2 linked regions of the Diceros bicornis minor genome follow. The protein of the gene in region 1 purifies or fractionates together with the protein of each later gene. This does not show direct contact. Links are inferred from orthologs where the notes say so. Each region holds a gene or a part of one and is shown on either strand. Other genes may lie near its edges.

What was found.
Region 2: the proteins of PLA2G4A (region 1) and S100A10 purify together in Homo sapiens (affinity purification with western blotting; 3 studies listed by BioGRID). This does not show direct contact. The link is inferred for Diceros bicornis minor from reciprocal best matches to the Homo sapiens genes PLA2G4A and S100A10.

The regions. Positions count from the first base shown.
Region 1 is NC_080743.1:80,990,451-80,998,226, reverse strand, and holds the start of PLA2G4A (cytosolic phospholipase A2), read left to right. Parts: upstream 1-4,527; 5' UTR 4,528-4,604; intron 4,605-7,776. UniProt on the Homo sapiens protein: Has primarily calcium-dependent phospholipase and lysophospholipase activities, with a major role in membrane lipid remodeling and biosynthesis of lipid mediators of the inflammatory response.
Region 2 is NC_080743.1:56,176,646-56,184,905, reverse strand, and holds the start of S100A10 (protein S100-A10), read left to right. Parts: upstream 1-5,153; 5' UTR 5,154-5,252; intron 5,253-8,260. UniProt on the Homo sapiens protein: Because S100A10 induces the dimerization of ANXA2/p36, it may function as a regulator of protein phosphorylation in that the ANXA2 monomer is the preferred target (in vitro) of tyrosine-specific kinase.

The sequences.
Region 1 (7,776 bases):
CGGAGAAGTGGTGCCTCGGTGTGCGCCCGGGATCCGAACCCGGGCCACCAGCATCGGAGCGCGCACACTTAACCACCAAGCCATGGGTCCAGCCCGTCAAGAATTTTTAAAACTCTATAAAGTGCCTGCAAGTCAGTTTCTGAGCTGCCGTAATTGGGCTCATGTCCATTCCAACAGAATTGCTGAAACCAGACATGCATTTGTTTTACCAAATTTAGAGAGATCTCAAAGAGCAGAAAACAACTTTTAACATATTGCCACGAGTAGGTAAAATGAATAAGAACAACTTGGCTTTGTCAAAAGTTCCTGAATATGGTTTGTCCGTAGTCAAAGTTTGCTACTGTCTGTTAAGCCATATTAATTGTTGACAGTATGATTCTTTCCATCTGTACAATATAAATTTGTAATTTGCTTAAAATCTAAAGGGATCCTGATTTAATTTCCACATCTGTTTTATCTGCAAAAGAAAAAGAAGTATTTTTAAGGTATAGTAGTATAAGTCAACAGGCAGTGGAGAAAACTGCATGGTATGAGTGTGGCAGTGGAACGGTGTGACTTGTATTGTAGGACAGTTTATCTGGGAATGAAGCTAAGGATGATTTTAACAGGGGAAAGGAGATGCAGAAGTGAAGCCCATATTATCGATAGTATGTGTAAGTAATAGTAATGCAAGGGTATAAATTAATATTTTGACAGTAAAATAAAAAGGAAAATATAGATATAAAAACTTTGAATATAGAAACCAGAAGATGAATAAAGGTGTTGGGATCAGGAGGAGGGGTAAGACAGTGACCACTGCTGGGGAGAAAGAGAATAGTGGAAGATTCCTAGCCTGAGTGCTTAGGGGGTTCCATCTTCTACCAGTGGGTCCACTACTACCAATGTACAACAGTCAGGGATTTGGCTGACTTGGAACAAAGCTGAAAAGATGGTCAAACAAAACTTGCTGTAAGAGATGGTATAGTATGTGGGAAAAATTGTGAACTTTGGAGTCAGACAGACTTGGATTGAAATCCAGGCTTCACTACTAATTTTGTGTGCTTACATAACATTAGGATTCTAAATAAAGATAATAATGCCTAATTTCGTGAATATAGTGGTTAATAATACTGCAAATGTGGTAATAATACAAAGTACATGGCCCATTATAGGCTCTATATAAGGAGTAACAATGACATTACTAGTGTTTTATTCATTATAGTCATTTTAATATATTTAAAAAAAAAAAGACATTGATGCGGGAAACGTTTAATAAAGTAGTAATAATCTGCCTAACATGTTCAATTAAAAAAAGAATAATTAAGAGAAAATTATTGCTCCCATTTTTCAGGTCAAAATAATGATGCAAAAATATGGGTACACTGAACGCACATTAAAAGTACAGGTGATTACTAACCGAAATATAGTTCTTGTTCATAAATACTCTCTCTTTAGATCTGTGCTTTCATCATTACATCTAATTTTTAAATGAATTGTAAACATATTTTAATTAGGGTTCATTTCACTCTTGTCTCTGATTAGCTTCATATTTCCAGGAATTTTATTAGTGTGTGTGTGGGCATAAAAAAAAGAAATTTTTTTTTCCTTAGTAATGATGGAAATGACAGTAGCAAGTAGCGTGCTATTTGGGTGTCGAGTTTAAGATATCTTTGAACCCAATATCATGGAGAACAATTCAACAAACATCCTTTGAGCTCCTTATGTGTTATGGACTTTGGGTGGGAAGAGGGTTTACTAAAATGAAGAAGGCTTGTCTCCTGCCGTCATGGAGCATATACTATTTTTTCATGTATAGCCAAGTATAATACAAATTGATCAGCGCTCTAATGAGTGTTCTCACTCAAACAGAAAGATGAATTATGCTGGAAAGGAGAGTGAGTAGAGAAATATTCCAGAAAAAGTGGTAACTGAGCTAAGCCTTGCAGGATCAGTAGGATTATTTAGCGGAATTTAAGGGAAAGGTGTGCAAGGAGAATAGTCTCGGTATTCGTTTGAATGAAAGATGAGGGTCAATTAGCCGAATGCCAAAAAATTTCACGGGTGAGAATTACTTCCATGTTCTTTGATTCAGGTGTCTTACTAACTTGATTTTGTTAATACGTAAAGAGAGGAATGACTCATATTAATTATATTCACAGACAAATAGTAAGAATATCAATGTATTATTCTATTATAAAAATAGTTGCATTATACACCAGAGTACTCAAGCATAGCAGCAAAGAGGGATATACTATTGTAGGAAAATTGGTTAATTGTGGCCATTGAAAATTTCCTCTGTTTCTATCTGCAATCTGGATTAGATTTCTCTATTCAACTCTCTCTTAGCATCTCACGCTGGCTAACTATTTTCATTGAATGTATGAATTGAACTATCAAATCATATCTCATTCCTCATGTCCAAGTTCATGGGAGACAAGTCACTTTCGTATAGTTAGAGTACAGGATGGGTGAAGAGGAAGAAGTAAAAAAGGGAATAGAAAGCAACAGCATATAAAGGAAGAATAACTAATCATGAAAACATCAGGTTTTCCTTTTCTGCTTTTTGAGCCATGGGTTTTGACACAGAGGTACTTCCTTGTTTGCTACTCCGGGCAGTTTTGAGTCTGTTCCTTTTGCTTACTTATCCAGTGCTAAAATTAGCTTATTATTCTCAGTCTAAATTTTTTAAGATGTTGGTAATTAATGGCAAACCGTATGAAACTCATTAACTGGCAATAAGGCAAAATGTGGGATTGGACTTAAAGAGGCTGCTACAATATTGCTCAGTTCAGATGGGTCCCACACGTATTTCTTCCCCTAACTGATCATCACTGATGCACCGGCCCAGAAAAGAGGGGTCTTCAGACCGAATTGATCTTACATACTAAGGCAGGCTATGAAGGCAGTCTCTCTTCTAACGTGAAGGCAGTGGTTCTTGGAACTAGTAGGCTAATGTTGGAAATATTTTTGGAGGAAATAGAACAAAGTGAAGACAGTAAATCCGAACTGGTACCATCTATCTAGGGGTCTACGTGAACAATGAGATCACAGATAAGGAGCCAAACTGAACTGAATGTGGACATTGAGGCCACAGAACCACAGGATGAGGCAATGGAAGGTGGTCTCCATCAATTCCAGAGAGGGAGAGACACCTGCAGCAGCTTTTAGTCACTGAAAGAATGGAGATAAGTCAGCCCGATTTAGTAAGGCTGGAAAGAGGCAAACATCTCCCCATATGTTTTAACCCTAGGGATAACATACACTAAAATTTTCTTTAAAAGCATTTAGCCAAAATTTTTTCATATCTTTAATATATACCACAGTGTCGGACATCCTCTCCAAATATTGAGAGCTACATCTTTCTATTATCAAACTGACCCGAGCACTGTGAAGCCGCCTTTTGAGGGAGCCTTTGTTCGTCAGAATCTCAGGATGAACATGCCCTGAAAAACGTATTCTTTCTTTCAGCAATTGCACCCGGGGGAAAGGTGAAAAATAGCGGCGTGCTCTCTGCTCCTCTCCTTAGTACACTCCACCTTTCAAGAAATTCAGGATCTTTGGAAAGAGAAAGATCTTGACCCCCATGAGACACTACAGGCCTTTTTTAGGAAGGAGAGATGTATAATATATGAGGTTGAATTTATGGGAGAAAATAAAAACAAAAAAGAGTTGAATCTTGGGCTGCAGAGAGCAGATAATCCAGAAGATTTAATGATGGAGTCTGCTGAAATTATATTCTTTGAAAATGTTATAAGAGAGCTAGGAGAGTGTGCTCAATATTTGATTAAAGGCAAAAATAGGTGATCTTGTGTTTAAAACAAGATATACTAAACAAATATGTCAATCTTTAACGACAATAATTGATTCTTGTTGAATCTGGATAAATTTAAACAGTATACCTTGTTTATTACAGTGTTATCAGGCATTTGAATTTACATTGCAAATTTATAATTCAACCTGATTTGAGTTTTTTCCCCATAAATCTCAACATATGTATTACATTCTTTGGTATGCCTTTAATCTTAAATTTACAAACAAATGGTTATCAACTCAGATGTTTTGAGTTTGGGGAAGAAATATTTGAACGGATTTCCTTTTTAAAGTCTTATATTGTTCATCTTCAAAATGTACACATTTTATATTTTGAGTTTGGTATAAATTTTGCCTTTCTAAGGAATGCCCTAGGTTATTCATCTTTTCAATTTAGTTCTTGCTTGTTTGGAAAGAAAGAGGAAGCAATTAACTACTTAAGGACAAGAAGTACTTCCAGACACACACACACACACACACACACACACACACACACACACACACACACACAGGCATCCACGTAATTTAGGCCCTGTTAACTTACATACTATTTAAGCATGTTTTCTGACTTCAAATCCTGGTCCTGATCAGTAAACATTTACATTTCAGCTTCTCCGAAAACAGTGCTTTCCTGCTCTTCTTCTTTAATTCCACCTTAAGACATCTGCCAAGACTAAAGGAAACCAGCCCACATTTTAGCCCCTCCTACCAAGGATAAGGCATTAACTTCTCTGTAGTGCCGGGCTGAAAAAGGATCCTGACAGAAAGCTAGAGGCGTAAAGGAGCCTGAAGAATCTCATGTAACTCTGGGAACTGTAAGCAATATATTTACTCTTCCCTCCCTCCACTTCTCTCTCCCACCCTCCTTAGCTTTTAGTTTGTATCATACTTGGAAGGAAGAAAGGACGGAGGGAAACCTAGTAGTTCATGGCTTTAAAACGTCTGCATGTCCTCTGTCCTTTGAAATGAGACACAGATCAGGGAACTTAATTTCCTTCTAACAAACGCCAGTTTGCTTTCCGAGGTCTCAATGCACTGTGGAGTCAACGATAAGGTGTTTCCTTCACTTACAGCCCCCGAACGAAAGCGAACATCCGAAACGGCGGCGAGGTGGCACGGACTAGTCCTCCGCGTGATGCCACCCAGCGGTTCCGATCCCCGTACTTGAGCAGCGTGCTGTGTGACACCCCTAACGATCTTTAGCGGCGGAATTTGTTCGCTCATTTAAGTTTTAATTAAAAAAAAAAAAGTCATTTCGGTTACTTATACAAAGCATTCCTGCGTCTTGAATATGTTGCAGCGTTACGCGAAAAGAAAGACAATGTTAAAAAATTAATTGTAAACCGACTGGTATTGTGATTTGCCCTTCCACTAAGTTGTTTGACATGCCAGGAGCACAGAGCTCAGAACTAGATACTGGAAAAGATTTGATCAAATAAGAAAGGTTAATTTTGAATGTGAATACTATTTTAGTAATTTTGTTTTAGAAGCGGTAAAAAGGGCATTTAAATTTGAAATAATAGTGGCTTAACATGTCTAAGTCTCGTACAACTTATAATCTTTTTAGAATTAAAAATAATGATTTTTCATCTCAAAAATTAGAACAAGAAATGCTCCTCACACTGGTTGATGATGTAAGCCTTGCTTCCGCCAAGGCAGATGGAGAGTACTAGAGGTCTACCATTGGATAGTGTCCATTCTAAGTTACCGTATTTGCATAGATCACCCTTTGGTTTCAAGGAGAATTCGGATTTTGTTTTGTTTCTATTTGTTCTGTAAATTTGGAATTGTAGCCCAAGAGATATTTGCTGGGTATAGTAGTGAAACAAACCCTCTTAAGAGTTTTTAAACTGTATTCCAGAGGTCCCTAGACCTTGCCAATCAAATTTGATGTTGGGGTAAGAAACAGGTTATTTTCTTCTTTCGTTGAGTAGAGGAAGAGTTAAATTTTAAATTAAGCAATAATTGTGAAATGCATAGAGAAGTGTTCACTCTGCATTTTCTCAAAGCGGCTTTACAAACTTCCTGTAGAGGAAGCACATTTTATAAGACCAAAAACTGCTTCTTTTTAACCAAGTCACTTTTGAAGTATTTTGCATTTATATTTAATTAGCAAAAGGAAAATTATTAAATATATTTCTTAGTATCTGATACAGTTCATTCCGTAGAGATAATGTGGCCTGTGTTTTTAACCTATCACTATCATTCCTAGTGTCACTGCTTAGAAAGCAAAGTCATAAAACCAAGTTATTTACATATTAAAAAGTATGTTCCAGGAATAAAAAAGAGGAAGACAGAATTAGTTGTGGTTCCTTTTCTCCTCCCATGCTTTTTATTTATCATCAGTTTTTTTTTCTCCTTTTGCTTTCAGATTTTATAGCTTTAGTTACTTTCAGCCATTTGTTTTTAATCTCAGACCCTTTTACAAATCTTATAAAAGCTGTAAACCCCTCCCCAGAATGATATGCTCCTCCAACAGGCACACATTTGGAAATACCTTCAGGAAGTTCACAAACACCCCAAATCATTCATGTCACACGAAGATGAAGTATGTCTATAACTTGGGAGTTTTCTGATAATATTAAATAATTAATTAGCAAATCATTTTACTTGTAAGTAAAGAACTGCCTAACAGTGGATATTGCAAGGCCCATACTGTCACTTATTCATTAGTGTTCTGGAACTCCAAGCAATTTTGTGTAATTGAAAGAACTACCTGCCTGGAAACCAAGTGACCTAGATTCTAGACTCAACCCCAATAATAATTAGCTGTACAATATTAAGCTTGCCGTTTTTCTATAACATCCGACATTTTTTATTGCTGGATACAATAAGTAGAACATAATAGGAAAATAAGAGGCAAGTTATTTTTGATTGGATTGTGGGCTGTCTATATTTTCTGTTTTTAACCCAAAATTTCTAACAATATTTCTAGCATAATTATGTTTTATAATATTCTTGCTTATTACGAAGATAATTTATGCTCACCGTTTAAATTTTGTTAAATATAGAAAATTGCAAAGAAGAAATGGAAAAAATTACCTATAATCTCCCCCAAGGAGTAACTACTTTAAAAATGTCATTCATTCATTTTTTTCAATCAACAAATATTTATTGAATATATAACATGCATCAGCACACAGACAAAAAGACAAGGAATTCACGTATGTACACCTCTTTATACTCCTAGACATTTTTCTATACGTTGACTCACTTGTAGATTTTACAAAATTGTGAGCACACTTGTTAAAAGATTAACTGAGACATTTTAAAAATTTTATTTATTTATTTATTTTTTGTGTGTGTGTGTGAGGAGATCAGCCCTGAGCTAACATCCGCCAGTCCTCCTCCTTTTTTGCTGAGGAAGACGGCCCTGGGCTAACATCGGTGCCTATCTTCCTCCACTTTATATGGGACGCCGCCACAGCATGGCTTACCAAGCAGTGCGTCGGTGCGCGCCCGGGATCCGAACCAGCGAACCCCGGGCTGCCGCAGCGGAGCACACGCACTTAACCGCTTGCGCCACCGGGCCGGCCCCTAAAAATTTTAAGAGTTTATCCGAGCAAAAAATCAATTTGAATGGGGCAGTACCAGACTGACGGGAGCTCAGGGAAAGACCTTCAGAGAGAAAAGGCAGAAGCAAAGTAAGGAAATGATTGATTGGCTATAGCTTAAAGTCTAGCTGGCTGTTTGTGATTGGTTGTGATTGGTTTCAATTTTGTAACCTTGAGGCATTTATGGGCCTAGATTTTGGTTTGCTTCTGTAGGCCGCCATGGCATTAGAGCCAGCTCAGTCGAGAGGCCTCCTTGTTTTATTAATTTCACACACTGTTCATGCTGTTTTATAACATGGTTTCCCTTGATCACGATATTTGCTGTTAAAACATGGTTTTTTAATACTTGTGCATTATTTTGTATTCATTCATTTCTTAAACAAATGTTATCGAGTGCCTGCTATGTGTCAGGCAGTGTGTAAATGATATCAAT
Region 2 (8,260 bases), about 25 Mb from region 1:
CTCGTACCCAGAACATGTGGGATATTAGTAGGCGCTCACTAAGTATTTGATAGATTATAATCATTAGAATTTGCAGAAGAAAGCAGGTGGTTTCCAACCCCAAGCTACAGTTCTCTTGTGTTTTAAAAAAAAAAGGGGGGGGGGGCTACACTCCTTCAGCTTCTGCTGCTCCCAGAGATAAGAGCCTGGCAAGCGCAGCCGAGGTAGAGCTGTCCTGGCACCCTAGAGGGAAGTCTGCTCAAAGGCGTTTACCCACAAATCATACACTGGAGAGCTTGGGCCATGCCATAGGCCCACTTGGCCTCCTTAAAGCTTCTGCTCCGCAGAGTAAGGGATCACAAAGAGGCTGGATCTGCTATCCAGAACCCACTGCCTGCTGGGGCTCAGTCATATGCCTTCATGGTCATATCCAGAACCTGCTGCCTGCTGGGGCCCAGCCAGATGCCTTCATGGTTATTAGTCAGTTCATTCTATGCCATTGCCCCAGAAGACAGGTGTCTAACCTGATTTTACCCATAAGGAGACTCAGGTTCTCAGTGGTGAGAGCCCAGAGCCACATAGCTGGTAAGTGGGAGAGTCATCCCTCTCCCTTTCCATTTTTTTTTTGTGTGTGTGAGGAAGATCAGCCCTGAACTGACATCCATGCCAATCCTCCTCTTTCAGCTGAGGAAGACTGGCCCTGGGCTAACATCTATGCCTATCTTCCTCCACTTTATATGGGATGCCGCCACAGCATGGCCTGACAAATGGTACCTCGGTGTGCGCCCGGGATCCAAACCCGGGCCGCCAGCAGCAGAGCCTGCACACTTAACCGGTACGCCATGGTATCCCTCTCCCTTTAACGTTCTCCAGTGGCTCCTTGTTACCTTCAGAAAGGAGCTCCAAACTCCTTAGCAGATTATCTCAGGTGTCCCAGGAAAGGCACCTCATCTCCAGACTCATCCCCGTCCAAAGCCCTAAGGGACTGCATACAACCCCATGCAGAACTCGGGTCAATTCCTAGAAGAGATGCACTACCTCACAATTCCATGATCTCACACGTGCTTTTCCCTCCTGTCTGCCCCCAAAGAACATGGCCAATTCCTACCTGTCCTTTAAGATACACATAAACAGACAAACAAAAGCCCCTGAGAGGATTCTACCCTAAGAAATAAACATGTGGGCAAAGATGTTTATTCAAAAGTAGTCCTTTTATACATAATTATTATTTATGACAGTAAAAAACTGGTAACAACCTAAATGTTCAAAAAATATAGGGAACATTTAATAAATTATATTTCCCTATTTAGGATGTACTAGTATATCCACCCTTGAGGGTTTGTTGTTTTGTTTTGTTTTTTGGATTGCCAGCAAAAAGAATTGACCAAGCAACTGTAAATCAGTGGTCCTCAACAGAAGTGCCATGGGGTACTGCTGTGACTCTTACTAGGGCTTGGTAATTGACAGATAAAGTTTCCTTTTGCTACAACTGTTATTCACGCCATGTCTGGGCAGACAGAATGTTGAGCTAGGCTGCACACAGTTTCTGTGTGGTGCAGGGCACGACTTGATACACACAAAGAAACTTGCTTGCCAGGACCTGTGAGAACTTTGCCCCATGAGTATCTAAGAGAGAGTGATCAGAGCAGTAAATCCTACTCAAACACTGACACGTTGCTGAAGTGTGATCAGTATAATTGACCTTTATTGACCTACCAGTACATACTATACATGCAACTTAATCCTTTTGAATGTGCTGCCAGAAATACTAGCATCAAAAGAATGCCACTCTATTCGTTAGAGTTATGCCGTAACAAATAAACCCCCAAATCCTGGGGTTCTTCCTCACTCACATAACTAGTCCAATGAGGGCATTCCTGGTCAGCTGGTGGTTTTCCTCCACTTGGTGATTCAGGGACCCAAGCTCCTTCCAATTGTGGCTCTTCCACTCCTAGAGCCTCAGAGTCCAGCAGATGGAGAGAAAGAATGTGGAACAGTCACCTCTTAACCACCTTGGCCTGCAAGTGACACATCACTTCCAGTTCCATTCTGTTGGTGACTAGTCAGAGTCTTACCTAGGTGCAAGAGTTGCCAGGATCACAATCCCTGGCTGAGCAGCCACTTCCCAGCAACACTTCTACACTATGACGGGAAGAACACACATTTCTGGTGGACAATCCGCCCTCTTTGCTACAGCCACAAACCCAAAAAAGTTGAGAACCATTGGGTAACGATTTTGTTTCCACATGGAGAAGTGGGAAAATACCCAATAGTGCCTCATTAGTAAAACAATGCCTCCTGCTCCTGGCCTTTTGTACACTGAGTGTATCACAGGCCTGGTGGAGAACTTGAACATTGCCTCATCTTCAGTCCAGGGACCATACTGGCTTGGGCCTCTGTGCCCATTCCTTTGATGGCCATTCAGTCTGCTCCTCTCCACACATCTCTCCTTCACCCTCTGCCACCCCAACCTCCTTCTTGGTCAGCTCTGACTCAGATGCTGGTCCCTGGTCCCATCAGTTGTCACTAGGGAAACAGAGCTGGCTCCACCATGTGCATGTGGTTTACAACGCATACCACTTTCTGGAGAAAGAACTGCCTGGGACCACTTCTCCTAGAGAGAGAGTATTGGCATGGCAGGTACTTAGAGCTTTCTTGACCTATCGGTACACAGAGTTATAAAACGCCACAAGAGGGCAGGGATAATGTCCATCATGCTGACCATTGTCACCACTATATCCACAGCACTTAGCACAGTGTTTCAGAAACCCAGGTCTCTTCCATCTTGTGGAGCTGCAGCCAGTAGGGCCTGGGAGCCCTAGAGTCTGGCTGGCAGGCTGGAGAAGAGAGTAGAGAAGCCACAGTGTAGTTGAATAGTTACCTGTTGAATGAAAAAAATAATAATAATGAATAAATGAATGAACACTCATGCTCTTGATAAATATTTCACAGAAAATAGTCAAGATAAAGCATTACAGGATGAAAATAGAATACTGTACGTAATTTTATAATCAGTGTGATCACAACTTAGGAATCTCACATCAAAAGTAAAAAGAATGAATTTACTTATTTTTAACAATTTTCAGCACTTCCTAGCCCTTTCACTAAATAACTACCATCCAACCCACCAATTAATTTAATAGCAGTTGTCACAATGACTATTGTTTGCCAATTCTGGCTGATGCCTGACAACTCCAAGGAAAAATGGATACACTCCGTTGGGGTAGAGAAGGCTTCTGAGTTTTTTCTTCCTATTGGATTGCATCTGGAACTTTTCCTTTGCTGCCCACTTTTTTAGTGGGCAAATTTTATGTTTGCTGAAAGGTGGGAGAGACAACCTGGATCCAGGTCTGTTGCCTCAACTCATTTTCTCTGAATTCTCTTTAGGGATCAAATTCAAGAATGCCCTTTTGGTTCAATTTTCAAAAAATATTAATAATTTTCCCCCAAGTCCCCAAGTTATGTAAATATATATTATATATGCATGAAAAGACTTAGAAGGAAAGACATAAAAGTGTTCATCTTTGGTTCACGGGTTTATAAATAATTGTATTTTCTTTTTTATACATTGCCATATTTTCCAAACCTTCTACAATAAGAATGTAAGCTTTTTTACAATCAGATTTAAAAGGCAAGAGTGTCATTGTTATTTTTAAAGCATCTATCAAATGTTGCCTCCTCCAGGAATAGTTCTGTGACCACTCCAAGGGGACTTGCAGGCCCCTCCTCAACGTTCTTATAATGTCTGATAGTGTCCTCTACCATTCACTGAGCATGCTGGGTTTTAATTGTTTACTTATCTTTCTCCCAACAAGACTTGAAGCTCTTTGAGGGAAGAGACTGATTCTTTAACCTCTGAATCCCCAGGGCCTAGCACACACTAAGCATTCCTAAAGGTTTGTGAATCAAATGAAATCAAATAAACAGGAGTATATAAACTCAGGCGTTGTCACTCTAAATCCAGTTGCATCTTCCCTGGGAATAAAGGGATCCAGGATTTTCTCCACTCTTGACTGTAACCTGGGGCCTGGGAAGAACTTGGGAAGCATATGGGAAGAGTTTGAAGAACTGCCCCCAGAACAGTCAGCACCAAGGTCGCAGGAACTCAGTGGGAGTGAGAGCTGAAATCCAAGTTGGGTTTTCCTGGCAAGAGCCAAGAGTAGTCACATGGTGACACTTGGAGGATTCCCCGAGTCTGCTCATTCCTTCGGGATCACTCACTCCTCTGAGGACCTCCCCTGGGAACAAAGGAAAACCCAGGACTTGGGACTGGGCCCATTTCCACCAACAGCTGCTAGTACTTTGCATTTAACCCTAAACCACAATTAAAATAAATGTCAAGAGGGAAAGGGGAATACCATCCGCTAGGAAACACTTAGGTATTCTCTAAATTTCTTCCAGAAATTTCTTCTAAAGGACCAAACAGGCGAAGTACAGGACAGAAAGAAGCAGGGTTTGAATCTTCCGTTTTAACAGTATCAACCACAACTGAAGCTGAACTATCGACCAAGTGAAGCCATACACAAGAGTGGTAAATCCCTGGTCAACAGAGGGTTTGTAACGCCCTCGAGCTGACAAGCCGAACTGCACCCTCTCTGCCCCAACCCCGCGGGACAGGCGGGGGCAGGGACCTCGGCTTATTCCAGATGCCCGCGGACCCGCGGGCGCAGGCCGCGAAACCCCTCCGTACCGACCTCCTAGGGCCTAATCTGAGCACAACCCAGCCTGACGCCCGCGCGGTCGTTAGCACTCCACGTGCCCCCTCCCTGCAGTGTCATCTAGAAAACAGAAATTCCAAGACCTGTAGGTTACCGAAGAGCCGCTTACATCTGGTTCCGGGCCAGCGAGCCCCACCCGCAGAACGTCTGGATTCTTTGATTTCCACACTCACTCACTTTCTAAAACCAAACCCGAGAGGAAGGGCACGGCCGAGGGTGCGGAGGGATGTCCTGAACTGTACGAGAGCATTCCAGTAGGCAGAGAAGTTTACAACACGTCCTGTAAAGCTCTCACTGGGGGCGGGGGGAGGCCAGGAGCGAGGCTCCTCTCTGCACAGCCTCACAGAGAGCAGGGTGTGCGCGCTGCGCCCATGTGGGGGGTGGGGGCAGGAAGAGGAGGGAGGAGAAGGGGTGGGGTGAGCCGAGGCCCCGACACCGGCCCAGGCTCCTCCCGCCTCCCCCCACCCCCACGTACTAAAGCGCCCTGCCCGCCGCGCTCTCTTCACTGGCCGCGCGTCCCAGCCGCCGAGTGTCTGCGTTGCGTCTCCGGCCAAGGTGAGTTCTGCTCGCCGACCCCGGGCTGTCTCCAGCCCCGGACCCGGTGCTCGGCGGGAACATCGGCTGCTCTGGCCCACCGGGCCGGGCCTCGCGGGGTGGTCGGGCGCCGGCGGTTCTGGGCGGGGGGCGGCTGAGGGGTATCCGCTGCTCCGCCCTCTGGGCTACATCCAGGCGAGGCGAGCAGCGCCCCTGTCCGGCCCGGCGCGACCCCTCCCTAGATCCTCGCGGACGGGAGGACGGGACACTTGTCCTTTCCTGCAGGACCTGGGCGATGGTGCCCCGCGATCTGCTTTCTTCTCCCTGTTTAATTTTCTTTACTCCCACTTTCCTACTTTTGGATTAGTCTCCCGAGTTATCCGAACCCCCATGTCTCTCCCGCGTCCTCGCCGGCATGTTGCTTTGTGGGCTCTGGCTGCAGGCTGACCTCCGCCCAGATGTTCCCAGCCTCCTAGCTGGACGGCCCGAGCAGGCATGGGGAGGGCTGGGCGGGTTGGCAGCTGGCGGATTCCCTTCCTAAGGGACACTCCTCAGTCCCTCGCCCACAGGCTTCAGGTTGGGCTTCCTGTTGTTTGTCTGCTAGAAAGGAAGGTTCTTACTGCCCAGGGAGGAAGATATATTTGTTTTCTTTATAAAGCAGTTTTGCTAGGGGGCAGTGGGGGAGAGGGCACTATGCGAAGTGATTTCCCTATTGAAAGGGTTCCCTTCTTGCTATCTTAATCAAACTAGTGGAACTATAAAGAGATAGGGGAAGAGGAGGCTTGGTGAAGGATCTTCCAAACTAGATTAATCTGGCCCAGTGCAATGAGGCAGAGAGAGACGTGCTGTTGGTACCTGGTCACAACTTGAGTTGGCTAAAGGAATGGCGCTCCCCAGCCCCAGCTGGTCTCCACCTAACTGAAACCGGGATGCTGCCATGCTGGGTGGGGGTGGTGAGGAAAGCGGAGCAGCTACGGACCAGCTACAAAGAGCCCTAGGCCAGACTCTGGAATACATTAAGCACACCCCCCTTCCCTCCCTTGGGGAGCTGGAAGCATTCTGCAGGGCGTGGTTAGCACAAAAAGGGCTCCCAGATTCTCCTAGTGGAGGCCTGTGACTCAGCTGTGAGACCATGTGGGTGTGGCCCTGATGGCTCCAGATTCTCTCTGCAGATGGTTCAGACAGAATGCTCCCTAAAGGAAAAGGGGAACTGTGCCATCTTAGAGGGCATTTTCCAGGAGGAAGTGAGTCACACCAGAGCTGGCCGGCAATCTGAAGGAGAGGTTTCTTGACTGAACTGTGGGTGAGGGCAGCAGTTAGACTGGCAGGGCCTTGGTGAGACCGCTGCTGGGTTATCAGCCAGTCTGCCTGCTGGCGGATTGCCTCAGCTTTACTTGGGAGGTTGCTTTTCCGTTAAGAGGTTTGCACTGCTGCAGATTTTTTTCCCCTGCAGCTTGTGTTTCAACCAAGCGGATTTTTATATCCTGCACTTCAGGTGAGGCCAGGCTCATGGAAACACCCTGTCAGTGATCTTTGCCTCCAACGTGTTTCAGCAAATTGCAAAAGATAGTGCCAGGGATTGGGGCAGGAATGAGTTCATATAACTCATTTGAAATTTCTTCATCAGCCCTGCCCCCACAGGTTCTTATCCAGTGTCTACTTAATCATCTCTTCTCAATAGTATATGCCTTCCTTGATAGCCAGAAGCTACTTTCTTCATCGTGGTCCTTGATCTACCATATGGAGTTTCTTATTTCAGTTCTTGATATTTTCTTGAGGGTCTGCTGGGCATAAAGCATTTTGATTTCTAGGTGATGCTCTTCCCTGGCTTTTCCTGCATACAATCAGATGGGCCTTTTCCTCCCATATCTGGACTCAGGCCAGCCCCACAAGCAGCTACCCAGTGATGTTAAGTCTTGGGCTGAGTAGAGCTGAGACTGGGTGCCTCCCTGCTTTCCACTGACAGTTCCAAAAATGTGACTTTTTTAGAGCACTACCCACTTGGTATGGCCTTGGACACAGTCCAGTCTATTAAAGTTGAGGGAACAATGGAATTCTTTCAGGGTTATAATGTATAAATTAGCACTCAGAGTGCTGGGAGAGCTGGACTGAAGTTTTAGGATCTTTCTTAAGCTTCTCATTTTCCTGGGACTCAACAATTTAGGAATCTCACATCAAAAGTAAAAAGAATGAATTTACTTATTTTTAACAATTTTCAGCACTTCCTAGCCCTTTCACGAAATAACTACCACCTGACCCACCCAATGGCTTTAATAGCAGTTCTCACAGTGGCTATTGTTTGCCAATTCCGGCTGATGCCTGACAACTCCAAGGAAAAATGGATATACTCCGTTGGGGTAGAGAAGTCTTTTGAGTTTTTTCTTCCTATTGGATTGCATCTGAAACTTTTCCTTTGCTGCCCACGTTTTTAGTGGGCAAATTTTATGTTTGCTGAAAGGTAGGAGAGACAACCTGGATCCAGATCCGTTGCCTCAACTCATTTTCTCTGAATTGTCTTTAGGGATCAAATTCACGAATGCCTTCTGGGTTCAGTTTTCCCGTCCAAAAAATGTTTTCTTCATCTTAAAATCGCTAAAGCAAAAGGAAGGAAACCTCAAACACATTTTAAATAACAGATGTTTGTTTTTACTGACACCCTGCCAATTATTTTCTGGGTGGGCTGTAAGAAAACTAGGGTATGGACAAGACACAGAAGAGCAAAGTAAATCAGACCTCTTGCTCTTTAGAAGTGTCCTTTTTGAAATTACGGCCCGGATCTGGGCGTGGGTCCAGAGCAAACATTTGGGACTGCTCAGGAGCAGACACTTTTCTAAGGAGGCCTCCTGCTTCCCTGCTACTCCCAGGAGGATCAAAATTTACATTATTGTCAATTTCATTCTTACCAATTCATTGAGCAGGCGCTATAAGGGCAGTGGCTAGCTACTGGGACCCTGCTCAAGGAGTCCCTAGTCTAGAGGGGAAAGAAGTAGAAACACAGTTAAGTAGAATTCAGGACATATTTTTAAATA